Cricetulus griseus: one gene and its partners. The protein of the gene in region 2 purifies or fractionates together with the protein of the main gene of each other region. This does not show direct contact. Links are inferred from orthologs where the notes say so. Each region holds a gene or a part of one and is shown on either strand. Other genes may lie near its edges. The genes, in order: Itga3, Cd151 and Itga6.

Region 1 (3,651 bases), on a different chromosome or scaffold from region 2:
ATCTAAGGACATGGGATATACCCTCTGGGGCCAGGGGGAAAGGGGGGGTAGCAGGCTTGCTCAAGCTCGGTCAGAGAAGTAGTAGCTTTGCAGTCACACATTTGCTGTTTTCAGGGTCTTGCAATCACACTTTCTGGGAGTCTGGATATTTGCATGTCATTTGCATGACCCCCGTGCTTGCTTGTCTCTACCTGCCATTCATGCCTATCATTCGTAAGGTGCCAATGGGGCAGGAGGATCTTTTTTGGGTGTGATGTCTGCCTGCATGATTTCTCCATGACATGAGTTTTCTATTTGGTGGGTCCTGTTGGCCTTCTCGTGGCCTGTGGTCAGGTGTGTCATTTGCTCAGTTGCATGGCCCTGGCAAAATCATGGTCATTAAATGACAGTTATGTTGTTTATCTGGGGCCAACCTCACACTCCCATCCCATTCTTCTCTTGTGCAGGTGGCAGGACCTCCTGGTGGGTGCACCCTACTACTTTGAACGGAAAGAGGAGGTAGGGGGTGCTGTCTATGTCTTCATGAACCAGGCAGGCACGTCCTTCCCAGATCAACCTTCCCTCCTGCTTCATGGCCCCAGTCGCTCTGCCTTTGGCATCTCTATAGCCAGCATTGGTGACATCAACCAGGATGGATTCCAGGGTATGAGCCTGTGCCCCTCCTTCAGCACCCTCACTGACTGAGTACCAAGTGCACCCCAGGCTTAACAGGACTCACAGCTCAAAGGGACACGAGGCAGGACGTGCAGAGGATGCTACAGAGGCTCGCCTAGAGTGGGTGATAAGTGGTTGGGCTGAGAGTGCACAGAAGAGAGGCACAAATAGCATGGGCATGAGTATAGGAACTTGCAATGTAAGTGCACACTGGGGACAGGCTGGCGAATGCTCTGAAAGCCGGGCAGAGTAAATGGGGCTTTTCTATCTGGGTCATAGGGAGAGTAGGGTGGGGAGGTATCCAGAGAAATTGTTGGGGCAGGCATTTTATCTGAAGGCTTGATACTTTGGAGGGTGATTCTGGGGGGTTGTGGGAGGGAAACCTAGGGAGGTGGAATCAGGGATGTACCATATCAGGTGATGAGAATGGGATGGAACAAGGAGGGACCCTTAGTGGCATTGCCTTGCAGGTGCTCTGCAGGACCCGGGGAGAAGTCACAGGGAGGACACGTTAGGGTATGAGCCGGTTTCCTGAGGGAGCACTTAGCTTACCAAACGTCAGTTCTCTGACAACCCGAGTCTCCCAGAACACAGCTGAGAACCAAAGGAAAGGCAGAGGCTCTTAAGAGGCAGAAATGGACGCCAGAAAGGTCAGCCAAAGGGCCCAAGCACTTCCCACAGAAGGGTCAGTGTTTTCAGGTTAGGGTCCATTTACTCTCCCTGACTTCCTTTACAGTTACCCAGGCCTTCTCAGATCAAATGTAGCAGACCAGTCCACAAAGATTGAGATCGCCAAATGTGTTGAGCTTGAGGAAACATTGCCTAGCCTTTTAAAAACCTTGACATTATACTGAACAAAGTGCAATGTAGTATTGTAGTTATAATCCAGTTTCCTGGCTGTGTGACCTTGGGATTTGCTCATTTATAAAGGGGATAAATAATAGTAGATACTCCCACAGCATCCTGTAAGGCTTAAGTGAAATGGATGCTGAGTGCTAGCAGTGATCGAAGGAGAGTGGCTTCTTTTCTGGTCTTGATAGAAAATGTCATTAGAACCAAGGTGTCTGGAGAAATGGGGGATGGGATGACAGGAAAAAATGGAAACTGGGTTATGTTGGGAAATGTGGGGCACAGCTCTGCTGTCTGACTTTGAGGAAGTTTCTTCCCCTTTCCCCAACCTCCATTGCCACCACAGCTCTGAAGCTGTGACGTTCGCTGTTGCTCGGAACACTTTTGCCAGGGTGAGGTCACTGCCACGCTGGGCTCGGTGGCCTGCAGCAGAGAGTGAAAGAGCTAGGGGACCAGGAATGCCTGGTGACTGCTTTGTCTTTCCTCCCCAGACATCGCTGTGGGAGCTCCATTTGAAGGCTTGGGCAGGGTATACATCTACCACAGCAGCTCCGGGGGCCTCCTCAGGCAGCCCCAGCAGGTATGAATGCATGGTGGTGAGTCTGATACCCCTATCCCCGGGGCCTCCTCCTCCAAGCATGTCTCAGAGCCTGTCCCTATCACTTCCTCTTGGCTTCAGATAGTCCACGCTGACAAACTAGGACTGCCTGGCTTGTCCACCTTTGGCTACTCTCTGAGTGGGAAGATGGATGTAGATGACAACTCGTATCCAGACCTGCTAGTCGGGAGCCTGTCGGACCACATTGTGCTGCTGCGGTGAGCTAGGAGACTGCGGTGGGCAGGGGCGCGTCCCTCCTCCGTCCTCATCTTCACGGAGCCTCAGCCCTGCCCACCTTCTGCAGTGATCCACAGAAACCTGAAATCCAGCCCTGGCCAAAGGTAGGCAGGAAATACTAACACCTGCCTGCTTTCTTGTTGCTACAGGGCCCGACCTGTCATCAATATTCTCCAAAGGAGCTTGGTGGCCAGGCCACCTGTGTTGGACCCCTCACTTTGTACAGCTACCTCCTGGTGAGACTGTCAGCCCAGTTCTTCCCACCCACTCCTCATGTCTCGGCAGCCCAGCAAGGCCTCAGGCCCTAAGCCCTTCCCCTGGATACTCCTGATGTCCCACCATCCGCAGTTGGAGTCTAGGGCCAGCAATACCTTTCCTCACCAATGTCTTTTAAAGTCAAAGTTCCTTGCAGGAGCTAAAGTGTGTGCACAAGGTTAGGAACAGAAGCTCTGGACCATCTGGCTCAAAGCCGAGCCACTCATTGCTGGGGGAGAGCAGGGAGGACTCTGGGGAGGGAGGGCTGAAAGGAAGGGGGAAAGGAATGCTCTTACATAGATGGGTGTGGGGAAGGAGACTCACCCTGGGCAAATAATTAGCCGGAGTCTCAGATAACATATAAAAGGTAATAACCAATTCACAGAGTTCTTGAGATAATTAAATGAGATAATATACAAAAAAGCCCTGAGCACAGTACTCTGTACCTAAGTGTCCAAAAAACAGTTGTGAAGAAAGTGATAAAGATCGTAGTGACCCTGAGGGCTTTTAGTGGATACCAGTCTGATAGCAAAGGGGACTACTGAGCTGAAAAGCAGGGGATGGGTGACATAAGTAAGACCCTGGGCTGGGCCATCAGTTGCCTGATAACATCAGACAAATCCTGCTCCCTGGACCTCAGTTTCCTCACAAGTGACCTCTAAAAACTGAGACGTCACCACAGCTTGGTAGACTCCCCAGTTTTGCTCCCACCTTTCCCCCACAAGGGTCCTGAGTTCCCTTTGTCTAGCATAAGAGTGAAAAGTAGGACATGGCTGTCCCTCCCACTGTGACCAGGCCCTGCTATGCGTACCCCCAACAGTGTTCAGGTGGAGCTGTGCTTTGCCTACAACCAGAGTGCTGGGAACCCCAACTACAGGCGGAACATCAGTGAGTTGCTGGGCACAGGGTGCTCGTGTGGGAAGGATGGTGGGAAGATGCTCACCTGGCTCCTGCTGACTGCCCGGTCTGTCTGTCTGCAGCCCTGGCTTACACACTGGAGGCTGACCGGGACCGCCGTCCACCCAGGCTCCGATTTGCCCGCAGCCAGTCAGCCGTCT
Region 2 (2,200 bases):
GGACTTATGGGGAGGCAGGTATGCATGGGGTTGACAGTGTCACTCATTTGCTTGCCCACTTGGTGGCTCTTCTAGTCTTGTCAGTCCCACTGGGGGTCCTGACTCTAGTTTTGCCCTTGGGGGTCTTAGACTTTGATCCTACCCACAGCTGAACACAGAGCTCAAGGAGAATCTCAAGGACACCATGACCAAGAAATACCACCAGTCAGGCCACAAGGGTGTGACTAATGCTGTAGATAAGCTACAGCAAGAGGTGGGTGTCCCCTATAACTCTCCACTTTCCCAGTATGGAGCTATATGTTGGCAGGCTGTAGGGCTCAGCCACATACCCCCTTGCAGTTCCACTGTTGTGGCAGCAACAACTCTCAAGACTGGAGAGACAGTGAATGGATCCGCTCTGGTGAGGCAGAAAACCGTGTGGTTCCTGACAGCTGCTGTAAGACTGTGGTACCTGGCTGTGGTAGGCGGGACCATGCCTCCAACATCTATAAAGTGGAGGTAGGTGGGTGCTGAGCAAAGGGCTAGACTGATTGGGTGTCTCCGGTCTGGCTACATCTTAGGGCAGCCTGGTCCAATAGGGCTGCATATGGGAGCCAGCAAGGTCCACCACTCTCTCCCCACTAGGGTGGCTGTATCAGTAAGCTGGAGACCTTCATTCAGGAGCACCTGCGGGTCATTGGGGCTGTGGGCATCGGCATCGCCTGTGTACAGGTATGGAAACAGAGGTGACTAGGTGGGAACACTGGGGTGGCTGGTGGCCCACAGCCTTTTTACACCAGCCTGGTCCCATGCAGGTCTTCGGCATGATCTTCACCTGCTGCTTATACAGAAGCCTCAAGTTGGAACACTACTGACCATGGTGCCAGGCCAGGCTGCCAGCCTTGCACTATGTCCCACCCCACTACGAAGTACTACTGAGTTAGACTGCTGACTGCCAGAGAGGTAGCTGTCCTCATGCCATCACTACAACCCCACCTCAGGGGTAGCTTCAAGTGCCTTTCACTGCATACCAAAGTACCAAGGCTTGAGGCAATGTACTTGCCCCAGGATAAGAGGGGGCAGGTATGCCAGTGTTGGGCTAGGCCTACCTGGTAGAATTGGGTTTAGATTATTTGACAAAAGTGCCTCTTGCCCACAGGCTACTTTCCTTGGGTAGCTGTGATTTGCATTAAGTGTTGGGGGAGAACATGGGTTTACCACTTGCATGGTGGGTAGAAGCAGGTGGGAAAGGCCATTCTGGGTGGTCTAGGTACCTTTCATGCCTGCTGCTGGGAACACTCAGATGTGCTTGCTCCAAAGCAATGGGGCAACCCGAGGGGAACTCCAACCCCACTCACTGTATATGCCGTCCTTTCCATCCAGGCTTCTCTTGCTCCTAACATCCTCAGCCCTGGCTCTCCCCCACTTCTGATAACACTGTGCAAATGCCCCATGTTCCTATATACTGTCTCCTTTTGGAACATCTCTGAACGGGGGTATGGCTGTTTCCATCCACTGTTGTAACCCTGATGCCCACACATGCTCCTGCTTTGTAACAGGTGCTCAATAAATATATGAACAGTTGAGTCAGTTTGCTGACAGGACCTTAGGGTCCAGGGTAGCTGGAGTACTCGTAAGAGTCAAAGATGGGGAAGCCTAGTAGCAGGGCAGCTAGGCTGACCTCTGGTAGCTGGTGAGCCTCCAGCTCACTGTGGCCTGGATTTGGCCAGGCAAAGGATTGCTCATATTCAGAATGTACCTTAAGAGCTCATTCTTGGGCTCAGCCATTAAAGGCTAGGCTCACAACCAAAAATATAAGAGCTGATTCTCTGTCCCCAGTAGTCCTATGCTGTTTAGTTTAGCTGGAGGAATGGAGTCCTAGGGGCCCCCTGACTCCAGTCTAAGGCAAAACTTTCTCCTCTTTAAAAACTAGCGTGGGTGTGTGCATGCGATTCATTTTAATCCCAGCACTCAAGAGAGGGAGGAGAAGCAGGCAGATTGCTGAGTTTCAGACCAGTCAAACAAAACCAAAAACCCAGAACAACAAAAATCTCAGTGGGATCAATGTGCTAAAAAAAGAACCCTGAGATATTTACTGCAACTACCTAGGAACCAGAGCCTTAAATGGGCCTCGAGTAGGTTTCTTTTTTGTTTTTTTTGAGACAGGATTTTCTGTGTAGCTTTGGAGCCTATCCTGGCACTCATTCTGGAGACCAGGCTA
Region 3 (4,403 bases), on a different chromosome or scaffold from region 2:
ACACCAACTAACCGTGAGATATTAAATAAACAAAATTTTTATTTGGCAAGTATATAGTAAAACTAAAACTATTTTGAATTATTCAAGTACAGAAAATCCTGTGTGTGTGTGTGTGTGTGTGTGTGTGTGTGTGTGTGGTTTTTCAAGACAGGGTTTCTCTGTGTAGCCCTAGCTGTCCTGAAACTCACTCTGTAGACCAGGCTGGCCTCAAACTCATCAGGGATCCACCTGCCTCTGTCTCCCTACTGCTGGAATTAAAGATGTGCACCACCATTGCCCAGCCAACATATGTTTTTTTTTTTTTAGAAGAAAACCAATTATATTTTTAAAAATCTCAAAAAGTTAACATTTTTTTGCTATAGTAATATATTGTTGCTTCTTTATTGACATACATTAAGATCTAGCAGAGGGTTAAATGATAACAACTGTAATTTGAGACATGTGGAACAACCAAATGTCCTGGAGAAAACAATATTTTCTTTTGATGATTGGATTTTTGATACATATTCTCCTGCCTTTGTGGTTTTCTGCCAACATCATAATGAGAAAAAGTGCTAAATGTCAGAGGGTAATAAAAATGGGCACACCTTTAATTCCAGCCAGCAGGTGAATCGAGCCCAGCCTGGTCTACAGAGCTAGTTCCAGGACAGCTAGGGCTGTTACACAGAGAAACACTGGGGGTGGGGGGAGGGACGCACTAAAATGTACATTATTTTGTTCTCAGTCAAGTTCTGCATGTCCCTGAAACAAGTTTTTCTATCCTAAAATAAGGATGCCTCAAAAATCAACACCTTCCTGGAAGCCCCACCCTCTGCCCAGATGGCACAGCCTTCAAGCCACCCACATGGACCTAAGAGCATCTCTAGGTAGTTCTCCTTCTAACTAAACCAGGAAATTTGGGTAAGTAAACGGGACAATAGCCGAACTCCAGGCCCCCACATCGAAGGACTCAGAGTCAGTCAGCAAGTTTGAGTTTCTATTTTGCCAAAAGAATACCACTTCCTAAGATTGAACAAAATAGACGGCTGTGATTTTTTTTTTTTTTTTTTTTTTTTTTTTTTTTTAAGTAGCACAGCACTATCGAAGTCTGCTAGTGCCACGTTTTCGACGCTTGGGTCCATGGGGAGCCAGCAAGTATGTGGCTCCAATCCATCCTCAAGAGCTGGGCATGGTTAGGTGCATCTTGAACCCCTGCAGAATGGATGAGCCAAGTAAGACTGTGCACATCGGCCCAAGCTCCGAGAACTGTCGGCTTCAGGCGCCCTGGACCGCACTTCGGTGACAGGTAGGAAGACGCCTGAGTAGCATTCCTGGGCTCCCGGACGCAGGGGGCGCTTCCGGGCAGGTGGCGGGACGGTGGGAGGGCGGCTGCGGGGCGGGACCAGCAAGAAGGTGCCCTAGGCGGGCCGGGCCTCGGGCGGGGCGGGGCGGGGCGGGGCCGGCGCCCTCGTCACTTGATAAAACGCCTGAGAGTCTCTAGAGAACAACGGGCTCATTGAGCGGCTGCGAGTTGCAGGCGTGGGGGAGCGGCTGGACAGAGAGCGCGAGCCGGCCGGGGGTGGGGCCGCTCGCAGGGGCGACCGAGGCTAAGTGGCCGCAGAGGCGCGCCAGGCAGCCCGGCCCCGGCCCCGAGCCCGCGCGCACGGTGGCTGCAGCAGCTCCTCGCGTCCCTCCCATCGCGTGCGCCCATGGCGGTCGCGGGCCAGTTGTGCCTGCTCTACCTGTCCGCAGGGCTTCTGGCCCGTCTGGGCGCAGCCTTCAACCTGGACACCCGTGAGGACAACGTGATCCGGAAATCGGGGGATCCCGGGAGCCTCTTCGGCTTCTCGCTCGCCATGCACCGGCAGCTGCAGCCGGAGGACAAGCGGCTGTGAGTTCCCCGGCTCTTCCCACCCCAACCCAGGCGCCGTGCTGCGCCAGGGGGAGCGAGGGCGCGCCCTACTGCCGCCCGTCCCGCTTGCCCAGAGCCCATTCGCCGGCCAGCCCTGCCTGGCCCTGCCCTGCCCTGCCCTGCCCTGCCCGCCTGCACTTCTCCGGCCCAAGACTTGCAGGGCCGGGCCAGCCGCGTCCTCGGCGCCCTGCGCCCTGCGCCTCCGAGGAGCGAGGAGAACCGTGGGGAGACCCCAGGCCCTGTCTCGGGACCCCCCCCGCCCCCACCCCAGTGCTTTCCGCGGTTCTTCTCTCCTGGCTTATTTTGCACGGACCCCGGCAGGTGGCACGCTTTGCTGAGCCTCACGTGCGCCGGGGACGGTGATGGGACGTTGGGTTGCGGGAAGTCTTTCAGGGAGATCCAGGCCTTTCTCAAACTCTCCGATCCTCCTGTCCCCTCCCTGGCTCGCGCGCCCCGCGGAAGTTGGGAAGCCACTTTTAGCTGTTGTGTTACTTTCTCTGCAGAGTGGGATCCCCTACTTTCACTGGCTTTTAAAAAAGCACCTGTTCCGCAAGGCTAGATCAGCTGTGAAAAAAGCTGCTTCAGCGGTGTGCTAGCTCCCCCTCTCAGCTCCCTGATCCTTCGCAACACCCAATAATTCATGGCCCCCAGTACTGGGTGAGCTCCACCGAGGAGTTAGACCACAGTGACCCATCTGAGCAGGGCCTTAGCAAAGAAGGTTCGGAAGTGACAATCATCCCCCACTAGGGCTTCTTCCAGAAGAAAGCGACTGGTTCTCCCTTTTAAACAGTGTTGGCTCCCACATGACCCAGTTCTTTTGATCAAGGAAGATTTTCTGGAGCTTGGTTGCCTCAGTCGCTGTGGGGCTGCATTCTTGATCCATGCTCCCGAAGCCCTTTATAACAACAAAAGATCCTCCTCCCTTCCCAGGCCTTGAGTTGAACCCAGGTCCTTCCAGGACCAGCAGAGCGGAGAGGGCAGTGTGCAGTCAAGGGGGAGGGAGAGGCCAATATAATTTTAACCTAGAGACAACCCCGATTTCAGATAGTTAACAACTTTGAATTTTATGCATATTGTGGACTTCTGAATCTTAAGGTCAGGTTTTTCTGACGACACCTGCTAGGTGAAGCAGAGAAATCTACTGCGGGTGGGATGGTCCCAGGCAGGGATAGGGTCTGAGTCTACTTTCTCTCGGAAATAATTGTTGGTGAGCTGTAAATCTGAAGTGAAAGGTTTTTTTTTTTTTTCTTTCTTTAACCCAATGGATAACATTTCGTGTCTGAAAACACTGTGTGACAGACACACATTACCCACATGGAGGATTTGCTCTTGTTAGTGTAGAAGTGATTGTGGGCCAACAGAGGGACAATTTCCCTGTATCAGAGACCACAGAGACTGGCTTCCAAGTAGACATTGCAATGGGGAATAAGTGGAGCAAGAAATGTCCTTGGGATGGAGATTGCAAATTGCGCCTTTAGCCAGGAGTCTCTGTTGTCATCAAGGCAGCAGCCCTGGGCCTGCTAAAACTTGTCACTGCTGCTGGGCTGCTCTGCTATTTATTACAGCTGCTACAGGTCCTCTTGAGGCTGAGGCCCGGGACACCTTCTACAAACTCCATGGAGGCTTGTAGAAGGCAGTAGTTGGGCAGACCCTCAGCTGAGACCCACAGTAAGGGAATCTGTGTTATAGCCTAGAACCCAAAACTGTAGCTCAGGAAGCTGTGAATTCTGTCTAGTACCTCTCACCTGTCAAAGCATCCCAGGTTCAAGAGTAGCATAGACTGTCTAAGGAGACTCAGCATACACAGCCCACATCACCCCCATTGACTGACGGCTCACTGGATTCAGTTTCCAAATTCATTGGGAAGATCTCAGGGGACTAGGGGGTGGGGCTGGGGTGGGAGAGATGTGGAAAGCTGAATTTAGTTTCCTCTTGGCCATTTATGCTGCCGCTATTCATTTGCTTTAAGCTGTGGTTTCTTCACTTGTAGAGTGGAGATGTTTCTGCTTCCTTGGGTTGTTGTGAAGATTAAAAGAGCATGCAAACTGCTCAGTGTCTTCCCCCCTCCCCTCACCATGGACACCTGCTGGTTAAATGGGAAATGTTGATGGTGATGCATTTAAAAGTAGAAATTGTGGGCCTACTATGATAGATAGGTGCCTGGCACTACATAGCATTTGTGATTCTCAGACTGCCTCACATTAAAACCAAAGGCCCTTGCTTGGGTAATTAATATCCTAAACTCTTGGTCGCATTTATGAACTCCAAAGCAACTTAATTTACCTCAGGCTTCAAGTCATTGCAGAAGCAAACTTCCTGAACAGTGTCTTTGAGACAGAAGGTATGTGGGAATATCAGATAAATGCATGGTTACAGAAAACCTACTGTAAGTTTTGTTTTTGTTTTGTTTTTGTTTTTTTCTATAGTACCATCTATATCTATTCAGTAACACACTGGGTATTGCTGAGCTTTGGGGATGATAAGATGGATTAGGTACTCTAAGCATCATCCG

What was found.
Region 1: the proteins of Cd151 (region 2) and Itga3 purify together in Homo sapiens (co-immunoprecipitation; 4 studies listed by BioGRID and IntAct, with this or other methods). This does not show direct contact. The link is inferred for Cricetulus griseus from reciprocal best matches to the Homo sapiens genes CD151 and ITGA3.
Region 3: the proteins of Cd151 (region 2) and Itga6 purify together in Homo sapiens (co-immunoprecipitation; 3 studies listed by BioGRID and IntAct, with this or other methods). This does not show direct contact. The link is inferred for Cricetulus griseus from reciprocal best matches to the Homo sapiens genes CD151 and ITGA6.

What each region holds. Positions count from the first base shown.
Region 1 is NC_048600.1:108,238,778-108,242,428, reverse strand, and holds part of Itga3 (integrin alpha-3), read left to right. Parts: intron 1-446; coding exon 447-643; intron 644-1,994; coding exon 1,995-2,083; intron 2,084-2,182; coding exon 2,183-2,319; intron 2,320-2,487; coding exon 2,488-2,574; intron 2,575-3,413; coding exon 3,414-3,481; intron 3,482-3,573; coding exon 3,574-3,651.
Region 2 is NC_048596.1:59,713,035-59,715,234, reverse strand, and holds the end of Cd151 (CD151 antigen), read left to right. Parts: intron 1-148; coding exon 149-253; intron 254-339; coding exon 340-498; intron 499-624; coding exon 625-711; intron 712-794; coding exon 795-854; 3' UTR 855-1,565; downstream 1,566-2,200. UniProt on the Homo sapiens protein: Structural component of specialized membrane microdomains known as tetraspanin-enriched microdomains (TERMs), which act as platforms for receptor clustering and signaling.
Region 3 is NC_048599.1:103,379,583-103,383,985, reverse strand, and holds the start of Itga6 (integrin alpha-6), read left to right. Parts: upstream 1-1,461; 5' UTR 1,462-1,688; coding exon 1,689-1,870; intron 1,871-4,403. UniProt on the Homo sapiens protein: Integrin alpha-6/beta-1 (ITGA6:ITGB1) is a receptor for laminin on platelets. Integrin alpha-6/beta-1 (ITGA6:ITGB1) is present in oocytes and is involved in sperm-egg fusion.